Drosophila melanogaster: one gene and its partner. The protein of the gene in region 1 interacts with the protein of each later gene in a pairwise test. Each region holds a gene or a part of one and is shown on either strand. Other genes may lie near its edges.

What was found.
Region 2: the proteins of Rassf (region 1) and CG6380 interact in a two-hybrid assay, tested with the Drosophila melanogaster proteins (one large-scale study listed by BioGRID).

The regions. Positions count from the first base shown.
Region 1 is NT_033777.3:23,113,494-23,119,697, forward strand, and holds Rassf (Ras association family member), read right to left. Parts: upstream 4,439-6,204; 5' UTR 4,046-4,438; coding exon 4,006-4,045; intron 3,932-4,005; coding exon 3,837-3,931; intron 3,771-3,836; coding exon 3,588-3,770; intron 3,522-3,587; coding exon 3,333-3,521; intron 3,280-3,332; coding exon 1,859-3,279; intron 1,798-1,858; coding exon 1,471-1,797; intron 1,411-1,470; coding exon 1,306-1,410; intron 1,241-1,305; coding exon 1,180-1,240; 3' UTR 521-1,179; downstream 1-520. Other genes in the region: CenB1A (centaurin beta 1A), read left to right, coding at 5,296-5,348.
Region 2 is NT_033779.5:17,290,522-17,293,850, reverse strand, and holds CG6380 (uncharacterized protein), read left to right. Parts: upstream 1-1,648; 5' UTR 1,649-1,742; coding exon 1,743-2,624; 3' UTR 2,625-2,776; downstream 2,777-3,329.

The sequences.
Region 1 (6,204 bases):
GGTCCTGTAGTTGTTGCGGAGTCCCAACCACGTTGTAGCCGGAATGGAGACCCGTAGGCTCTGTCAGTTTCAAATTAATAGCCACGCACACACACTCACTCTGTGCCGCTGTGGGGTGTGCATTTATTATGTGAGTGAGCCAGTGCTTGCCTACTTTCGTCCTCGTCGCTATTTCCGCGCTGCTCCTCCGTCGTTTCTCTATTATAATGGCATCATTGACTTGTGCTTTGATGGCTGCTTTGGCCAGGACAGGGCATCGGTTTGCCCCCACCCTAGTGTGTGTATGTGTGTGTGTGTGTGTGGGGGGGGGGCTAGAGGTCCACCTCCACTTGATCCCCATTTGGGCACGGACGGCTGGCGCCGGTTGCTGCCTTTTTTGAATATTCGGCTCACACTTTCTGCTACTGCTGCCGCCTTTAGGTTCGCCCCTTTGCACTAGGGACGCGTTACTTGCCGGAATTTGTTGGCGACCATGGGGCCTTAAACTCCGCTTGGCTGGTCACCGAAAGAGGCGGCGATTCTGTTGTAAAATTTTCATTTTATTGGATTTCCAAATGATTTTCAATCAACAAGTCCATGTTATGCAATATGAAGTATGTGCACAGTTATTCTTATTGTTTCGCAGGCATTGCGATTTCTAATCAAATTGATTTTCACACATTTGTTCAATGACTCGATAAAATGGCTTTCAACTACACGCTACTAGCAGGACCTGTGCTTCATGTCACGGCTTAAAAGCTAAACATTGTACAATAGATACATGAATGACAACGCTTTTAACGTGACTGCATAAAGCACATACATTGATTATTAACATAAAACAAAAAACTGTATGGTAATGTTGTGGATTAATAATTATTTTTTGGTTAGTTACAAGTCTTAAACGCTTTCTAAACGAATGGAAATGCCTGGAATTGATTGTTAGTTTCGGCTGGGAAGAATCGAACCCTAAACGTAATGTATGTATATGTATTTTGCGACGAGCAGCAGCTGCTTTTTGTTCACTGGGCGCCTAATGTTTGCTAGTTCGTAATTTTCTCTAGATTCTACATAAAAATATATATCTCGTATAAAAACGTGAATACTATTAGCTGTGCTGCTGCCGACACTTCTTTTTTGGCCGCATTCATGTTATGGCTAATAAAAAATTGCTCTTATGCCAGAGGTTTCATTTACGTTTTACAAATGCACTTTCAGAGATTCCATGCGACTGACAATACGACGTCGCAATTCGGCGTATCTGCGGAAAAGTAATTCTCTTTCAATGCAAAGTCTTGGGATGTAAAATTATTTTTTAAAACCCACCTTTCCTTTATTTTGGCCACTTCGCGGGCCAGTTCCTGGTCGTAGCGCTCCAGAATAGCACGGCACTCGGGCAAAGATAAATTCAAAAATTGAGCAACTTCATTACTGCAGCGATGCAAAAGAAACGTAAGCAAACTTCTATTGAAAAGGAGTGTTATAACTTGCCTGATTTCATCAGTTTTGCGAGAATCCACTAAAAATATACGAGCCACATCCTCATGAGGTCCCAAAGTGACGCGCGTTATCAAAGGATATTCGTCGTCCTTGAGACGTTTCTGTTCACCATTGTCGCGAACAATGAAGAGTGAAAAATTGCCAGGCGAACTGTCCACCTTGTATTTCTCCAGCACCAAGTTGATAACCTCAGTGGTGGTCACCATCGAGGAGACCCACACTGACATTTGAGAACCGTAGGGCGGCGTGAAAAACGACGTCTCCCGATTGTAGTAGTGACCATTGATAGAGCACCGACGTTTCAGCTTGGTACGAGAACTATTGATTAAGAAGTTGGAATTACAACACAATTTCTTCATTAAAAGTTTCAGTAACTTACCGACGATTGCCACTTCGTCGCTTGATGGCAGAAGCTCCTGTGCGTGGAGGTCTTCTCAGCACAACTCCATCTTCCGTCACATGCAACCCAGCCGATCCATCTCCGTCTGGACCATCAACGCCCTCGCTTGCAGTGTACAAATCCTCGGTTTGCGTAAGCTCATCGCCGGCCGCTGCACCACTGGTTATGGATGGAGCATCTGCCCGACTTGACTCACCTTCGCTAGCAGCAGCCACATTCTCTTTGGGATAACAGTCCATCTGGATTTGTATGTACCGCTGAGGTATGTCGCTGCGTCGAATGGTGGCCATACGTTGGGGACGCAGCGTGGCCTCGTCGTCGTCATCGCTGTCGGAGTACACAAAACAGCTGGGTCCCGATTTGGAGCGGTTGATGCCCTTTTCGAACAACTGCCGCCCCTGTTGATATGGCTTCTTTTGATCCCTGCTGGTTACTGTGGCCGATCCACTCTTTTGTAAGGCGTACTGACGCTGTGCGGAGTGAGGAGAGCCCACACTACTGCGCAGATTCATGGTGTCGTTGATTAAAGTGGGATCTATTGACCGCAATGCATGCTCACAATTAAAGCTTTTGCTCATCGCTGAATTCTCGCCGTAGAGCTTAAGGGAGTCGTGAATGCGAGAGGGATCAATTGGTTGATTACGCTTAAGGGTGCCCTCATTGGGCTCCGTAAAGGAGTTGGCCCCATTTACATAGTCCTGGTGGACACTACGCTTAAAGTCCTCGAAATCAATAGGCTTCAGGGTAGCGTCATCGCAAGTCTCGAAGTTATCCAGAGAGGTCTCAGTAGTAGACACCGTTGTTGTATTCTGCGTATTGGTGTTGGCAGTCAACGATCCCGTGGCGGTCATAAAATCATCCGTGCTGCTGGTGTTTGTTGATGCCGATTGAGTCGAGCTTGATTCAGTGGTCGTAGTGGTCTCTGTGGATGTTTTGCTGGGCGAACTGTCGCTGGAGGATTGCGACGACGGCAGTTTGACAGGCATAGTTTCATAAATGCGATCCTTGTCGTTGTGACGTCTCTCTACCTGCAGCAGATCGTCTATGTCGTCCCAATCCAGTTTTTCCAGACGGTCCAACTTCGAAGGCAATGTGCTGGACACACAACTTGTGCTGGCAGTAGGAGCCTCCACCAGGGTTCCAGATGAGTCCGTCGTGGTCGTATCCTCGTCGTCGTTGCACACATTACCATTGGTCTGCTCTTTGCTGTTGGCTGTGGTGTTGGCCGAGGCATCTTCTGGGGTTGTGGGCAACTCGGAGATCTCGTTCAGGCTACAGGAGTCGAAGGTCATGCTCTCGGAAAGGGAAACATCCGTGGATAGTTGATCGACCTCGGCTGTGGTGGTGGTGGGCGGAGCCAGCGATTCGCTAGCTTCGTTTTCCTTATCCGAACTGCTTTCCTGTGGGTACAATTGTATAAATAACGTTTTGTTATGTTATAGATTCAGCTTACATTGGCAGCCTTGGACACACGGCAAGAGTTCCTTTTGCGCACTAAGATGCGCTGATCATCGTCCTCCTTGAGATGAATCACTCCCTGCACGCCCCAGTAAACTCTAAGCGCGCCTTCCAGCACCAACCGGTTGTTGACCTCACGACTACGTATCTCCAGGCTTTTGTTGTCGTAGAATTGGTTGTAGACCTGCCCATTAAAAGGGAATTTGGTGAGTCATGAGATATTGATATGTCTGGGTATTGCGTTCTGCACCTTAAGTTTGGACTCCAGGTGATCACGTGGGAGTGGCGGGCCATTGGCCTGAGCTCCGGTTGGCTTCTGGGCTCCCTTCACCCCATAGCTTTTGTGCGATTCCACCCGGGTGCCGTGGCCAAACAACTGGGGTCCAAACAGGGCGCCATAGCAGGGCACATGGCAGTAGGGCACACTTTTGTGCTGAAAGGAAAACAAAAGGCTTTATATAGATCACATGATCGGCTAACTAACAGGTGATCCTCCTACCTCAGCATGCTGGCCGGGATTTAAGCGTTTGCCGCATTCCTCGCAGCGCAAACATTCCGGATGCCAATCGTAGCCGATCGATTGTTTACGTTCCGCTGTGCGGGGCATAAATAAATATAATTTACAAGTTATTTACGGATCGCAATGCGCTCGTGTGTGGGTGCATTACCGAAGTAAACGGGTTTGCCGCACTTGTGGCACTTCCACATTCTGGATTCCAAACAGGTCGGTCTAATGCTTCCTCCGGGAATGGGCGTGTTTCACTCCTCCTCCTCTACTTCGCCGATTTTAAAGAGTTGTGACGTAAAGCCGTCGAGTTGTATGCAAATGAGGCGATTTAAAGCGGACACGAAACGCAAATAGAACGCTGGACAAGGGGTAAACACATGAGGCGAGGGGGGACGTGAGACTCTGATCGGTCAGTCGGTCAGCTGCGCTGGTTGCCGTGCGAAACTCATAGTTTTATAAATGAAACTGGCACTGGGCACTCCCACACTTGGTGCACGGTGCAGGTGCATCGGTTTTCGGTGCGTACTTGTGTGGATAATTGCACTTAAACCAAAACAGCACCAGCAGAAAGAGAACAGAACAATGAAATGAAAAATGGCACTTGTGCAGCACTGGCCGCGGATTCTTGTCGCACAAGGCGGGCACCCTAAAATCCAGCGGTGCTGTCAGCTGATCTGTTTTGTAGCTAGATTTGACTTGGCTGGCGGTAGCTTGAAACGGATTTGCTTGTTTTGGTGTTTAAAATTGTCATCGTTTGTACTTTAAATACATCTACATTGATTATGGCTAGAACCCAAATCTTTTTTGGGCTGTATCTTCTTTTAGGGAATTTAAGTTCCTAATTAGCTTCTTCTTAGCTACAAAAGTTTCCAACACTGATAAACCGTGCTGACAATGTCAATGTGCGTTGTTTTATGCCTTTGAATTGAAATCTTCGTAACTAATCGAGTTTTAAAACGAAAATCAGCACAAGGAAAACACTAAGCATTCAATACATTTAAAATTTTAAAAGATATGAGCAAAAGCAAATAAGCCCGCCAAAGTGTGTGACCATTCGCGCTGCTAGATTTGTTTTCGCTGCGAGTGCGGGCACACCGATCTGCTCTAGTAGAAAGTGAGACGTTTTAATTTGTTGTCTCTGCGCGCTGTGTAAATTTGGTAAATTCGGCCCCGAATCGCGTAAATTGGCGAGTTTCGCTAATTAGGGCCAGTGCTCAACGTGTGTAGCCGTCGATTGCCAAGGATGCGACTAATCACCATATCTCCTGCTGCCCGCAATTAGCTTCTCCCAGAGCCGCCCTCGAAAATCGCGCATCGAAATCCCCACTTCAGCAAGGAAAGCAAAGCAAAGCAGAGCAGCAGCAACAGGCCAACAAAGATTCACGGGCCTCAATTAGCGTAGCGAAATAGCCAGCAGTGCAGTCTAGGTGCTGCTTGCGTGGTGGCCAAAATGCGCGCCACCATCGAGTTCGAGGAGTGCCTGAAGGATTCTCCCAGATTCAGGTGCATATAAGCTGCAGCCCCGCCCCCACTGTGTGCCCATCCTGAGCCGCATTTGGCGTGAGATTCGAATTGCTCCATGTAGCGTGACTGGTTACTATCCAAAACCAGATACAGCCCAACACCGCCCCACCTGCTCCACCTGAAAACGCGGCTTAATCATCCATCGAACAAACTTTGTCCCGTCAGCAGTGTGGAATGTGCCTGCCTGCCCCTTTATTTCCGCAATTAAATTGCCGATGCTCTCGTCTCCGTCCGCGAACGCTTCAATGCCCGCCGCTGATTGATAAGATTTCACCCAAATTGCCGCTTCTCCACTAATCGTGTCCAAAGACAAAAGCTTTCCCTCGTAAAACGGTGCACAAACGCGGCGATAACTTGTTTGCCCAGCAGCCCCATCACATCTTCCCCACTTTTTCGCACCTGCAGCAGCTTCACTTGAAAGAAAACAGGAAATCAAGACTATCTTGGATTCTCCTGCACTTCGGTTCTTTTATCATTTGTGGAAGTGCCAACTTGACCTTGGTGTTTCGAAACCGAAGTACACTACAATAAATTATGTGAATCATATGTGAACTTTTCTGCCATGCATATAAAAAATAAGAAATCTAAGGATCTGTAAAGTAGGACATTTCTATTGCTTCAGAACTAGGCAGATATTATCGCAACCATAGTAAAATGTATCAATGTTATGCATTTTTTTAAACTAGCTTAAACTAGTTTCCAGTTTTAAGTAGAATTAAACGATTTATTTTTTATCAAAAACTTCAACTCATTGTGCATTTGGCTCAATCGTTTGAATGACGAACACATATTTGAAGATATATGAAGCTTTCGAAAGCCATTAGTTTAAAATGAA
Region 2 (3,329 bases), on another chromosome or scaffold:
ACATCGCATTTCGTCTCCGACAGAGAGGCAATCAAACATGGCAGGAAAACTGCAGCTGAAAAACAGTTGTTGACTGTTTGCCGGCATCGCCTATATCTCCATCATCATGATGTTGATGATCATCATCATCTTCACCTCGCAACAGGACACAACATCGCAACGTCATCATCGCGTGGAGGAACAAGTGAAGGAGGACATATCCTCGTCATCGTCACTTTTATGCTGCTGTTTTGTCGCATCCACTGTGCTTATAAGCATCCGCTCGTCACATGCGTGCAAGCGTATCGGGGATCTACACAGCGAGAAAACGGATTTAGCTTATAATTTTTAGTAATATACATTTTGAATAATATATACCTAATTAGTCATTCCATCAGATAAACGGAAACTGATAATATTGTCTCTCCCCTTAAAATATATTAATATTAATATAAAAATATTAAAGGCATCGTGCTTTAATATTTTTACGCATTTTTTCTCGCGGTGTCTGGGCTCGTATCTGAACGTACTCCGGCAAAGGCTTGTTTATTTGCTGGCAAAATTGTGAAATAATGTGCTGCAATCAATTCCCAATACAGCGCTCCGTGACCTCTAGCCCCTCTTCACATGCGGCACTCCCTCACTTTTCCCTTTGGAAAAGCGGGAGAAAGCGGGAAAAACGGTGTGCAGTGAAGTTATTTGAAGTGGCAGCTGCCACAGAGCGAACTGCAACTGCCACAACTGCATTGGTTGCCCCACGCCTCTTATCATCACTTGATTTACCGCCCCCACTTCCCCCATTTTCCACGTTTTCGTCCGTATCGGAGGTAACATGTTTGTGATGAATATGTTTACATCAATAACAAAAACTCCACTATGGCGCATCAATAATGAAGCCTTGCTCTGACTCCGCTTTACAAAACCCCCTATCATTCCATCCAACGGGCGGCAAAACCCCATTTTGAACACGTCAAAATGAGTTTACTTTGTGGTTTCGATGGCTGCGATTGGAAACTGCTCCCGCGGATTATGAAGTATCTCGATTGGAGTACCGAATACATTCATCCACACACAAACACATCGAGTTCTTGACATCCTCAACACAAAAACAACAGTAGCAATGGCAACAGGGATTACTTCGAGATTGCAGCAGGAAAACCACTTGATATTTTGAAAGTGAATCCGTCCACAGTCTGATCGGAGATTTGGTATTATCCGAGATTAGGGGTTGGGTATTTGCTCGATACGGAGACAAGGACTTAATTTATAATTAATAAACATGTTTGGCTTAATTTACCAGAGAATAATGATGGAGTAACAATGAATTTGAAACTCCACTAAGCAGCATTTAAACAACATACGTAAACATACAAATTTAATATGTATGGTAACAATAAATAAAGTAATTTTAAAATCGAATATAAGAAGATAATATGTGACTTGAAGCAGGCATACCTTCTACTACATAATTAGATCCCAATTTAAAATGTTAAACAGAGTAATTTGAGTGCAGAGTTCATAGAGAGATTTATGATAATAAATTAAAAATAAAATAAAAAATTGTACGCGAATGTAATGAAGTTATACAATAATCTTCCAAGAAAAGGAGCCCACGATTTTTATATATTTTTTGACGATGACAATGTATTTTATCAGTTAAATATTATAAGCCATATAGGGCACACACAAGTTTACACTAATACATTTTAGTTCGGTAATTAGTTCCTTTCAAAGGCCAAAACTACACATAGCTACAAACAAGAATGGATGGGGACCAAGTAAAGGGCATCCTGAAGTCGGGAAACAATAGTGCGCAATTTAGCCTGAAGGCAGCCAAATTTGATGAGGTCAACATACTGGCCACGTTCCACCCGGCTGGTAAGGACTACGGCCACATGATCATCGACGAACCAAAGACACCCTTCGTCTTTGAGGAGGATTTGCCAAAGGAGTTGGATACAAATGCCCTGATCGAAAAGTTGAGACACACATCAAAGTCAGAAATGCCGGCATTTGGCATCGAAGGAGACTCAGAAGAATCCTCGGCGGATGAGGACTTTCCCGAGTCTGTAGAGGAAAAAGTGCGTAGAATGGAGTTTGAGAGGCGGCGAAAAGTGCATTACAAGGAGTTCTATTCGGTTCCACTGGCTCGACGTCTTATAGCCGACGAGTTTGCCGAGTTGACCAGTTCAGAGTTTAATATTCACTGCGAAGGGGGAATGGAATCTTGTGAAGCGTGCAGTGAAAACAATCAACTCGACGGCGAAGCAAGCAACTTGACGCAAACAAAATACTCATATTCTGAAAGTCAATCCGAATACAGGATATCAGATCATTCTGAGCCTGAACCAGGTTTCTCCCCCAGCCATCACTGCTACCAAAAACTGAAGGCCGAGCTCTTTAGCAAAGCAGAGCCGGAAGAATTGGCCTCTTTAACGCACTTGCATCGAATGCCATCGGTCAACGATGATGAACCAAGTCGCGAGCCTCGCGTCCCATACCCTTCGGTTGTTCCGACTCAAACCCAAAATCTACATGAACACAAGAGTTCACTGAAAATAACGTCCGAGAAGCCTACTCCTGCTCGTATATGTAAATCCAACCCTGATAATCGTCCTGGCACTTCTAAGAAAGAGACCCGCTGAAATCATTCAGTAGTGTTAAAAATTGCAAAGTTATATTAAAGAAACTTGTAATTATAACAAACCATTGGGGATTAAAACTTGTGTATGCATTTGACAGAAAGTATCTATTACACTACATCTATCTACACTCTTTTGTAGAAGAAGCTTTTAACAAATGTTGCCTAATGGTTTTTACTCAAGGATAAATATCTTTAATTACTCAATCACAAAAATTGTGTCCAATAACTTTCGGTCATTCCACTCCTGTTCGTGCCTCGTCTAAGTTGCTAAGGAAATTATAGGAAAATTCTAAGTACCACTGGCCAGGCTAATTGCTGAGATGTTGATATGATTAACCCACTAACCTTCATTTGCTCCCCATCTATTAATACTTTGCTTCCGAAAGTTCACTGGTCTGGGGAATATTTAATTACGCAATGTCCTAACGGTAATCATCATTCGGCCGAAGCTAGATACAAGGATACACAGCCAGAGTTTAACTTATTTTGGCATTTTGTTTTGTGATTGAAAATTCCTTTTGACAGTCTAGGCAACCGAAGAGTTTTCCTTCCGGCCAATCGCTTTCATTCTGATTTCATGCTCTGGCCATTCCAATTGTGAAGAAAACTGATTTCTGCCCTTTAAGATAATTCCTCGGATATTACAACTGCAGAATCACTTGAAATAATTATGCAAAATGTTTAATTTAGCCATTAAATGCCGTAG